Linked DNA regions of Arabidopsis thaliana. The protein of the gene in region 1 interacts with the protein of each later gene in a pairwise test. Each region holds a gene or a part of one and is shown on either strand. Other genes may lie near its edges. The genes, in order: DI19 and ZTL.

What was found.
Region 2: the proteins of DI19 (region 1) and ZTL interact in a two-hybrid assay, tested with the Arabidopsis thaliana proteins (one study listed by BioGRID).

The regions. Positions count from the first base shown.
Region 1 is NC_003070.9:21,072,082-21,076,891, reverse strand, and holds DI19 (drought-induced 19), read left to right. Parts: upstream 1-2,014; 5' UTR 2,015-2,166; coding exon of another isoform or gene 2,167-2,215; intron 2,216-2,443; 5' UTR 2,444-2,622; coding exon 2,623-2,832; coding exon of another isoform or gene 2,833-2,835; intron 2,836-2,917; coding exon 2,918-2,983; intron 2,984-3,098; coding exon 3,099-3,331; intron 3,332-3,414; coding exon 3,415-3,526; 3' UTR 3,527-3,586; intron 3,587-3,667; 3' UTR 3,668-4,037; downstream 4,038-4,810. Other genes in the region: AT1G56290 (CwfJ-like family protein), read right to left, coding at 10-174, 254-457, 541-828, 918-953.
Region 2 is NC_003076.8:23,239,440-23,245,358, forward strand, and holds ZTL (Galactose oxidase/kelch repeat superfamily protein), read left to right. Parts: upstream 1-1,987; 5' UTR 1,988-2,157; coding exon 2,158-2,402; intron 2,403-3,232; coding exon 3,233-4,776; coding exon of another isoform or gene 4,777-4,817; exon of another isoform or gene 4,818-4,884; coding exon 4,885-4,976; 3' UTR 4,977-5,151; downstream 5,152-5,919. Other genes in the region: AT5G57370 (U4/U6.U5 small nuclear ribonucleoprotein), read left to right, coding at 5,372-5,919. UniProt on the Arabidopsis thaliana protein: Component of an E3 ubiquitin ligase complex that plays a central role in blue light-dependent circadian cycles.

The DNA.
Region 1 (4,810 bases):
TTCATGTACCTTCTCAGAAATTCTTTCTTTTGGTTTTTTTTCTGAATCATTCTTTTCATTTTCCCCTCTTCTTCTATTATTTATGGCATTCAAATGGGCACGAGATGGAGCTGCTCTTTGAGATGCGACAGACTCAACAAGGTTACCAAGAGAACCATATCGCTCGCCAGCAACCTGCATAACCCTCAAAATGATAAGGCAATACTCAAAGACCAACGAGACTATATTAATCGTAAATCAATACAAAACTTACCTCCTCAAGCCTTAGCCCTTCTCTCGCAGCCTGTTCTTTCGCACGCTTGAGTGCTTTCATTCTCCAACTTGCACCCCCATCTCCAACAACCGAAGAAGGTAAAAGCTGGTCTTTACCATGTTTTTTCTCAGATTCTTCCTCTGGATAACCGGTTCCATTTTCTTTCAAATAAGGATTTAGTTCCCTTGGGTTAACTTTAGTTACCTGGCAGAGAAAATAAAAAGCATTAACTTAACTATCTAATACGGACTTGTTAGAAAGATACTCTCAAATAAAAATTCCCTCACCTCAGGTGCACTTTCTTCAAATTTATCCTCTACATCTGAAGCAGGGTTTGGATCAGCCTTTCGGGTTGGCGGCAGCATCCAATCGAGACCCATTTTCTTTCTAACAATATCCCCTTCAAGCAAGTCATCATCAACGGTCTCGCCATCTCCACTCTTGGCAATCTTCTTCCCATCTCTCTTACTTCCTTCTCCCCTACGCTCCTTTCTATTTACGTCCTTGTTCTTTCTTCTTCTATCCTTCCCACCTTTAGATTTCTCTCTTTCCCCCTCCCAACTATCATCATGCACCTAATAGCAAAGAAAAATAACATCAAACTCAATCCAAGATGAATAAACACAAAAGAAAATTCAGGATCATATGAAACTAGAAACTTTACCTCATCACGAGGTATGATCTTTATCCCAGAAAACATATTAACAATATCTGTCCAAGGTCCTGTTGGAGAAATAATCAACAGACTTCAAAGGCAGAGCGAAGCAAACTTCAAACCTACACAAAACAGAAAACAAATTAGACCATGTCATAGCCATGATACTACTGTAAACAGAACAAGATCCAGAGATCAACAAAATCAGCAATACCAAAAGCAAGATGCAAGCACATTATTTGACTAAGCAAACCTCAGCCACAATATTTACAAATTACAATCCTCTGATCAGTAAGATCATACTTTACTAGTGCTAAGCTTGTAGGTCACTAGGTAGATGTTATTAAAGCTTAAAGCAACGAGATTGAAAGTTTGAAACTAAATTTGATCCTATAGATTCTAAACCCTACTGATTGAGAGATCTTAAGAAAACCCATAAACAAACTTCAATCGAAATGCAACACGACGACCAATATACTGTACTTCGATTGGAACCAAATTGGAGAATTTAAGAAACTAGAGAATTGAAACAGAGAGCAATCTTAAGCAAATATGTCTCCTTTATCTTCGTTAATGAAGAATAAAGAACTAATTCTCAGGAAACTTACCGGAAAAAGAAGAAGAAGAAGACAGCTACTCCGGCGATGGATGATGAACTCTGTTCGGAAGAAGGAAACGATTTGCTCTGTTCGATTGATAAATTTAGGGCTCCAGAAATAAATAACATAAGAAATACAAACTCAGAGAAAGCAACGAACCCGGACTATAAACCGGACAAACACACAACAAAACCGGGAATATGAATCCAATAACCGGTCCATAATTTCTGCAAAACCGATAATACCAAAGAAAACAACGAATTGCGACTATAAACCGGAAGAGAAAAACGACCGGGATTTGGAAATTCGAGAACCGGTCCATCATTTCTGAAAGTCGATAATACCAGACAAATACCAACCGGGATTTGGAATTTGTTAACCGGTCCATCAGAATCGATGATACGAGATAAAATTGAAGAACCGGGACTGATAACCGGAACAAATCAACAAACCGGGAACTGGAATGTCGAGAACCGGTCTCACCATTTCTGAGAAATCGATAATAGTCCTCATTCACAACGCACTTTCTCTTCCTCTCTCCTCCTACCAAGAAATCATCGTCTTCTTCTTCATCTATTCAGGATCGATCCGGCTTGAGATTTATTACAAATTCGTCCTTCTATTTGCTCCAAAAGTTCGACAATTTCGTAGGGGCAAAGATGGACGCTGATTCCAAGAGATTTCTAGCTACGCTTCGATCCCGATCTGGTGAGAAACTACAGTACCTTTATGTCAACTTTGATTTTGAGCTTTGTAAGTTTGGTAATTTTGATTTTTGAGCTCTCAAGAAGGGAATATTTGAATAAAGTTTCAAACTTTTTTTATCACATGAGTTTGATTCAAATATCGTGTTTTCTTGACTTTATGCGAAATTATTTGGTTAGTTATGTAAGTGAAAGAACAGTTTGACTCATATTTATGTTTCTGGCTATATAGGTTTTTGAGCTATGTAAGAAAAATTCTTAAACTTGTTGTGTTTAGGAGCTGTAATAGATTTGCTTCTGAAATAAAGACAACAAAAAAACTGGATGTTCCTATCTAGGTTAACATGATTCAGCAGGTTGTCTCATGGAGTCTAGTTTTGTTTTTCTTTCATATTGTTGTTACTTGGCTAGATGAAATTTTGTGCTTTTACCAGTATCATACTTGCAAATATATATGATCTTTTATGTTTGAAAATTGTAGAAATGTTAATGGGCTTTGAAGAAATAGATGGAGATGATGATTTCCAGGAGGAGTTTGCTTGCCCGTTCTGTGCAGAATCGTATGATATCATCGGGTTGTGCTGTCACATAGATGATGAACATACTTTAGAGTCGAAGAACGCGGTATTGCTCTCTACTGGTCTTTACTATCAAATCAACTTGGAATCAAAAATTATATAGCAAATGTGTACATTGGATTTTTCAGGTATGCCCTGTTTGTTCTCTTAAAGTGGGAGTTGATATCGTAGCACACAAACGCTTCACCATGGGAGTTTATTTAAGATATCCTTTTTTCAATTTCTACGTTTATAACTTACAGATATTCTTAGTTTCTCACCATGGAATCACATTCCTCTGTTGAATTCCTTAATGAGTTTTACTTGCAGCGAAAGAGAAAGTCACGAAAAAGCGGTACCAATTCGACACTTTCACTTCTTCGGAAAGAACTAAGAGAAGGAGATCTACAAAGGTTGTTAGGATTTACTTCTCGTAATGGTTCTGTTGCGTCAAGTGTAACTCCTGATCCTCTCCTGTCGTCATTTATCTCACCTACACGATCACAGAGTTCTCCTGCGCCACGCCAAACCAAAAACGTATCCGAGGATAAACAGATAGAGCGGTATAGATTCTATATTAGCTTTCTTTATTAGATTATAGAGTTTTTTGAAGGTTTAGTTTTTGATTAGCATTGAACTTGTTCAGCAAGAGACAAGTGTTCATCTCACCGGTCTCGTTAAAAGATCGGGAAGAGAGGAGGCACAAATCAGAGTTTGTTCAGAGGCTCTTGTCATCAGCCATTTTCGATGAAGTCTAATGCACATACAAAGATTGAGAACATGGAGGAACTAATTCGAATCAGACTTGAGAGAATCTGGTATATATGAAGCTCTGTTAGTTGTGTAAAAGAACCTACACAGACACATTTTCATCGGAATCTTGATTCAACTGTGTGTAGGTTTCGAGAAAAACAATGGTTGGGATGAGAAGAAGACGGAGAAGAGCGAGATGCAGCTATGTTATCAATATCTATATCTATCTATGTATTGTGTCTGTTTGGTGCTACTAAATACATTGCGTAGAAATGTGTTTTCTTAAGTTTATTAAGCAATTGAAAAGTAAGATATAGGAAGAAGAATAAGTCCTCTTGTCTGTAGCATAAACCCTATTGGTGTTCTTGTGTTGTGTGTCTTATGAAATGAAAAATGTTCACTCTTGTAAGCTAGTAAAAGAGTGATAAAAGAGTGGTTGAGAAACCACGTACGAAGTCATCTGTTTAAGAATAATTCAACAATATTGTTACTTTTGGTGTGTGTGTGTTTTTCTCTACTCAATTCTCGCTCGTCGTTCACTTAAACGCTCTTGATCTCTACCACTCAATCTCACTTCTCTCTTCATTCACATCTCTATAAAGATATGTTTCTCTCATTTAAACTCTCTTGATATCTCTCACTCAATATCAATTCTCTCAATGATTTTAAATTTCATTGTTAGATTTCTATTTAGATTAGTATATTTAGGAGCCGTTCTCAATTTTTAGAATTAGAAATTTAAATTGAAATTTCTAGATTCAGATTGTGAAATTTTGGATATGTTATTTTTTTCATTTAGATATTTAGTTTCAGATGAAGATTGGAATTTTCTTTATATATTTTTTTAAAGTTTTTATTTAGAAATTGAATGGTAATTTTATAATTTGTTATATTATGAATTTAGAGTATAAATTAATTAATCAAATTTTAAGCTTAAGACATTCTTATTATTTTGTAAGTTGTTACTTTTAATTAAGTTTCTTTAAATTTGACTCACAAATCTTTATTTATGTTTGTACCTCTATTTTCACATTGTTCTCAATCATTTTACGGATTAAGAGAATTCCAATATGAAAATTCATTGATTCGAATAACAAAAAAAAGTAGATTACATGTTCCATAATACATACAGATTTCATATTTTGGATAATAATACAATAAATTTTGTAACTAAAACTACAATATATTTAGAGACTTAGTAATTATTTCAACCCGCACATAGTACCAATAAACTACCTAATAGTTTATTATTTATAAATTACATTATATTTTCATGTACGTAATCTTTT
Region 2 (5,919 bases), on another chromosome or scaffold:
AAATTTGTATAAAGAAAAAGGAATTTTATAGTGGGGGCATTTTAGCATCTCGTCGAAGATATGAATGAATAGAGAATTTTGCAAAGTGTAAAGAAAACAACCGACCAAACCCACTTGTTCTCTCACGTCCTTTTTATGTGTTAAATTGTCATACACAAAAAAAATATTTACAATTATAATTTTTCTAAAGTCTTTAATGTCAAAATTATATGATCTATTTATATCAGTAATACAAATGTAAATCGCTATATTTTATATTTTTGTTAAAAACTAAATACCATAATTTAAAAGAAATATTTTCTTTTTCTTTTTATTTGCGAAGATATTGTTTAGTCGTATGGCATTGTATTAGTTACTTACTTAGTAGTTTTACAGAACGAGGTGAAGAATGTCGGAAAAAAGAAAGAGGTGACGAAGAATTTTGACCAATTTGCTACTTTGTAAGGGAAATATAATACAAAAAAATTGTATTTAGCATCATTACAAACAATTTCTCCATTTTGTTTTAACTTTTACTATCAATTTTATTATTTTTATACGAAACTTATAATTAATAACACGAGGTAAGCCTGTTTTGTTAAATTGAGTATGTCAATTCATTTCATGAGATAATAACCTTCAAATAAAGTTCATAAGATAGTTGCCCCATATCGGTAACTTAGGCTTATAAAACAGTCTTATTATTGGTGATATAAAACAGTACTTAACTACTTATATATAAGTACTTACAACTTATTCTTATTATTGTTGATATAAAACACTAAAGTTGGGTTAAATCTTAATTCCAATTCAGCTGTTTGATGTTGGTTTAAAAGTCTGTTTGCACCTATGATTCTATGATATACCGAACCGATTCGATTAACCAGTAGTTACGAGAAGTTATTTGTTTCAACTAACTATCTATTGATTTGATGTAACTAGTTTGGTCCTCTGCGTATAAAAGGAACATTACAGAAGAGATTAAATGATAGGCAATTGATAATTGAGACGGTTCAAGAAAAGATTTAGCAACCAACAACCTTAACAAATTTTCATTTACGTAACTATAATTATAGATCTTGCTATTTTTCCATTTTATGGCGTCTTCTTATTACGAAACTCATACTATTCAGTCACATAATCTCATTTACTGGACTATAATGGGCTTTATTGTAATGGGCTTTATTGTAAGACATGAGCCCACAAATTTGGAAAGTAATAAGCTTCAGCTCAGCTAAAGAGAGTCTAAAAACCAAAGGGAAAAATGTCATTAAAATCCCCAACTTATTGAAAAAGTTGATTTAAATCCTCAACTTCCAACGAAACGAAATAAATATCAAACTTTTGTTGATTTTCCAAATAAATACCAAATTTTGGTTGACTTTCCAAATAAATATCAAACTTTTGTTCGAGTAGCCATATTAAGTATGACATTAACAGACCCTGTTATTAGAGTCCATTTTTTGTTAACAGACTCGTTAATTGAAAACGACAATATTCCCTATAACAATAAAACAACGTCGTTATGTCATAAATGCTCAATTAAATCCCAATTTCAAATCATATGAAGATTTAGGGTTAGAATTTTGCTTGATTTGGAGATTTAAGATTGGATTTGGGAATTTAATTCGGTCGTTATAATAAAACGAGGTCGCTTTCTTGTTATAGGAAACAATAACGTTTTAAATTAACGGATCTGTTAACAGAAAATTAACTCCGTGAACGCAATATGTTAATCTACTTAATATTATACCTAATATGACCATATATACGAAAGTTTGGTATTTATTTGGAAAGTCAACAAAAATTTGATATTTATTTCGTTTAGTTGGAAGTTGATAATTTAAATCAACTTTTTCAATAAGTTGGAGATTTTAATGACATTTTTCCCAAAAATCAAGGGGAGTTTTATGGTTTTATCTACTTGACCCGACAGAGAAATCCGGACCCGGATAAAATCCGACCCGTTCGAATGAACTCATACGGCCGAGATTTTTCCACCAAACTCGACGGTTACCACTCGTTTCTTTGTCCACCATCTTCTCTCTCTCTCTCTCTCAACCCCCGAAAATCTCCTTTTCCCAAAATTTTCCGATTATCTCACGCCGGATTGTTTTTCAATCGCCGTCTTCATAATCTCCGGCGACTGAAATCAGTCTGGTAACTATTTGAATTTTCATGGAGTGGGACAGTGGTTCCGATCTAAGCGCCGATGATGCTTCGTCACTGGCGGATGATGAAGAGGGAGGTCTTTTTCCCGGAGGTGGACCAATTCCATATCCCGTTGGGAATTTGCTTCACACGGCGCCTTGTGGATTCGTTGTTACTGATGCCGTTGAGCCGGACCAACCTATTATATATGTCAACACCGTCTTCGAAATGGTTACAGGGTATCGTGCTGAGGAAGTTCTCGGAGGAAATTGGTTAGTTGTTTTTTTGTTATCTTTGTGATTAGTGTTCTAATTGATGCGAGGAATTTCTATTTTTGGTTATTGGCTCACTTTACCAAATTTTGGCTACTTGGTGGAGTTTGATTAAGGTCCGTTTAGTTTGAGGATAGGTGAGGAATGTTTGTGATGATGGTAATCTGAAGGACACTCTATTGATCACTAGATTTAGTATGGATGGATACTTTGGTGGAGAGAAAACAAAGATATGTCTATTGTTAGATAATCATTAGAGTCTCTGCCAAATGGCAGAGAAGACTCAGTGGAGTCTCTGTGTGTGCCTAAGTATTCTCTGCCTTCAGATGTTTATTCAGTGATTGTAGTTTTCATATTAATCGAGCTCTCATGGCTGTTTTTGAGCTGTTTCAGCTGCTCCGCATGTTAAGGAAACTTGAAAGTGTATATAGATGCCGAGATAAAGCGAGCTATCCCTGTGTAGTTTCTCGGGGTCGTAGCGAACACAATAAATTCTTTACAATGTTGATGTGCAGTGAACCAGTGAAAAGGCTAAGTCCAATGCGTTTAGTTGTGTGTTAGTTTTCCATGAGAGAAGTGCTAGTAGCTTCCTTTATTAATAAGCTTTGATCTTACAGGAGGAGCTGATCAGTTCAAATAGTTGTTATTCTTGAACAGAATGAAAATCTGGTTAGGTTATAATTATGCTTGTTTGGTGTATTTGTTTTTTTTTTCAGTCTCTACATGCACGGCCAAATATTTTGTCTATTGCTTTTCCGCATCAGTAAGTTGGAGATAAATTTTGTTTTTGGTCTTATATTGTTTCTTAATTAATTTCTCGGATTCTGCAGCCGCTTCTTGCAATGTAGAGGACCGTTTGCTAAAAGAAGGCATCCATTAGTTGACTCTATGGTTGTTTCCGAGATAAGAAAATGTATTGATGAGGGCATTGAATTTCAAGGCGAGTTGTTGAACTTTAGGAAAGATGGATCTCCGTTGATGAATAGATTGCGGTTGACTCCTATTTATGGAGACGATGATACTATTACCCATATAATTGGAATCCAGTTCTTTATCGAGACAGACATTGACCTTGGACCTGTTCTTGGATCTTCAACAAAAGAAAAGTCAATTGATGGGATATACTCAGCTTTAGCTGCTGGGGAGCGGAATGTTTCCCGAGGAATGTGTGGGTTATTCCAGCTGAGTGACGAGGTTGTGTCTATGAAGATATTGTCACGCCTGACACCAAGAGACGTTGCATCTGTTAGCTCTGTGTGCCGCAGGCTATATGTGCTGACAAAGAATGAGGATCTTTGGCGAAGGGTTTGTCAGAATGCATGGGGAAGTGAAACAACACGGGTATTAGAGACTGTTCCTGGTGCTAAAAGACTCGGTTGGGGCCGCTTGGCTAGAGAACTGACCACCCTTGAAGCTGCAGCTTGGAGAAAACTTTCGGTTGGAGGTTCTGTTGAGCCTTCTCGCTGTAATTTTAGTGCTTGTGCTGTCGGGAACAGAGTTGTTCTGTTTGGAGGAGAAGGTGTGAATATGCAGCCTATGAATGATACCTTTGTTTTAGATCTGAATTCTGATTACCCTGAATGGCAACATGTCAAAGTGAGCTCCCCTCCTCCAGGACGCTGGGGCCACACGCTCACTTGTGTAAATGGCTCCAATCTGGTTGTATTTGGTGGCTGTGGTCAGCAAGGTTTGCTGAACGATGTGTTTGTCTTGAATCTCGATGCTAAGCCGCCTACTTGGAGGGAAATTTCGGGTTTGGCTCCGCCTCTACCAAGATCATGGCACAGCTCATGCACCCTTGACGGAACCAAACTGATAGTCTCTGGAGGCTGTGCAGATTCCGGCGTTCTTCTAAGTGACACGTTCCTCCTCGACCTTTCAATAGAGAAACCAGTGTGGAGAGAGATTCCAGCTGCCTGGACTCCGCCTTCCCGGTTAGGCCACACACTATCGGTTTATGGAGGAAGAAAGATCTTGATGTTTGGTGGTCTTGCTAAGAGCGGGCCTTTGAAATTCCGTTCGAGTGATGTCTTCACAATGGATCTAAGCGAAGAGGAGCCTTGTTGGAGGTGTGTGACCGGTAGCGGAATGCCTGGAGCAGGAAACCCAGGAGGAGTAGCACCACCACCAAGGCTAGATCACGTTGCAGTTAACCTCCCTGGAGGCAGAATCTTGATATTTGGCGGCTCAGTGGCAGGGCTTCACTCAGCGTCTCAGCTTTATCTACTTGACCCAACGGAGGACAAACCGACTTGGAGAATACTAAACATTCCAGGAAGACCGCCTCGGTTTGCTTGGGGACATGGCACTTGTGTTGTGGGAGGAACACGAGCGATAGTGCTAGGTGGTCAGACCGGAGAAGAATGGATGCTAAGTGAGCTACACGAATTATCACTAGCGAGCTATCTCACGTAACCAAAGAGAGCCTATGTATGAAAGAGAACCCAGCCATAGAAGAAGATGAAAAAGGGTTCTCGGTTAGGATACTGGAGCTTTAGGGGAGAGCGACTCAGTGGTGGGACTTTGGTACTGCTCATATTTTTTAAGTCCTTCTTCTTCTTTCTTCCTCATTAGGAGGACTTTTAGTGCTTATATAATATATATAGTGAAAATGTCATCTCTCTCTTTCTCTCTGTAGTGCTTGTTTCTGTTGTTCTCTTTGAAGTTTGAGAAGTGCATTTGTGTTCATATTCTGTAAATTTTATTTATGATTACAAACTTTAATAAGATCCTTTCTCTTCTTATGCTATTGGACCACTATTTTCATTTCCAATTTCATACTTTTAGTTCGGAGACAAAATGAGATTATTATTATTTTTCCATTGAGTATGATGAATATAAGAAAATTGGAAAAATAGAGGATAAAACCCCAAATTTTCATTTTAATAGAAAAAATTGGGGAAGAAAATTTACAGTGTTGAAATTGGTTAAACCCTGACACTAGCACCTTCCTCAGTCGCATCACCACCATGTCAGAGCGCGACCGCCGCGAACGAGAGAGGGATAAGGACCGTGAACCAGACCGTGATAGACGCCGAGGTAGAGACGACCGTGACCGTGACCGTGATCGAGACCGGGAAAGAGATAGAGAGCGCGACCGTGACCGAGGGCTTAGAAACAAAAAATCCCGATCTCGTACTCCAGACCACCACGCTCGTGCTCGCCACGTGCGCTCTCCGGAGAGGTATCGCTCTCGTTCCCGCTCGATTGACCGTGACCGGGACCGGGACCGTCAACGACACCACAGGCGCAGGTCTCCTTCTCCAGATGCTCCGTCGCGAAAACGGCCTCGCCAGGGTTCAGTAGACGATGAGAAAGAAAGGAATCGCAAAAGAGTAGTGACTGATTCCGTTGACGAGAATGCGTCTACTATTACTAAGAAGAAGGATAAACAACCAAGTGATGCTGCTGATAATGGCGGAGGCGAAGATGAAGAAGGAATGGATGTGAATGAGATTGAGATGATGAAGATGTTAGGGATTCCTACTGGATTTGATTCCACAAAAGGCAAACCAGT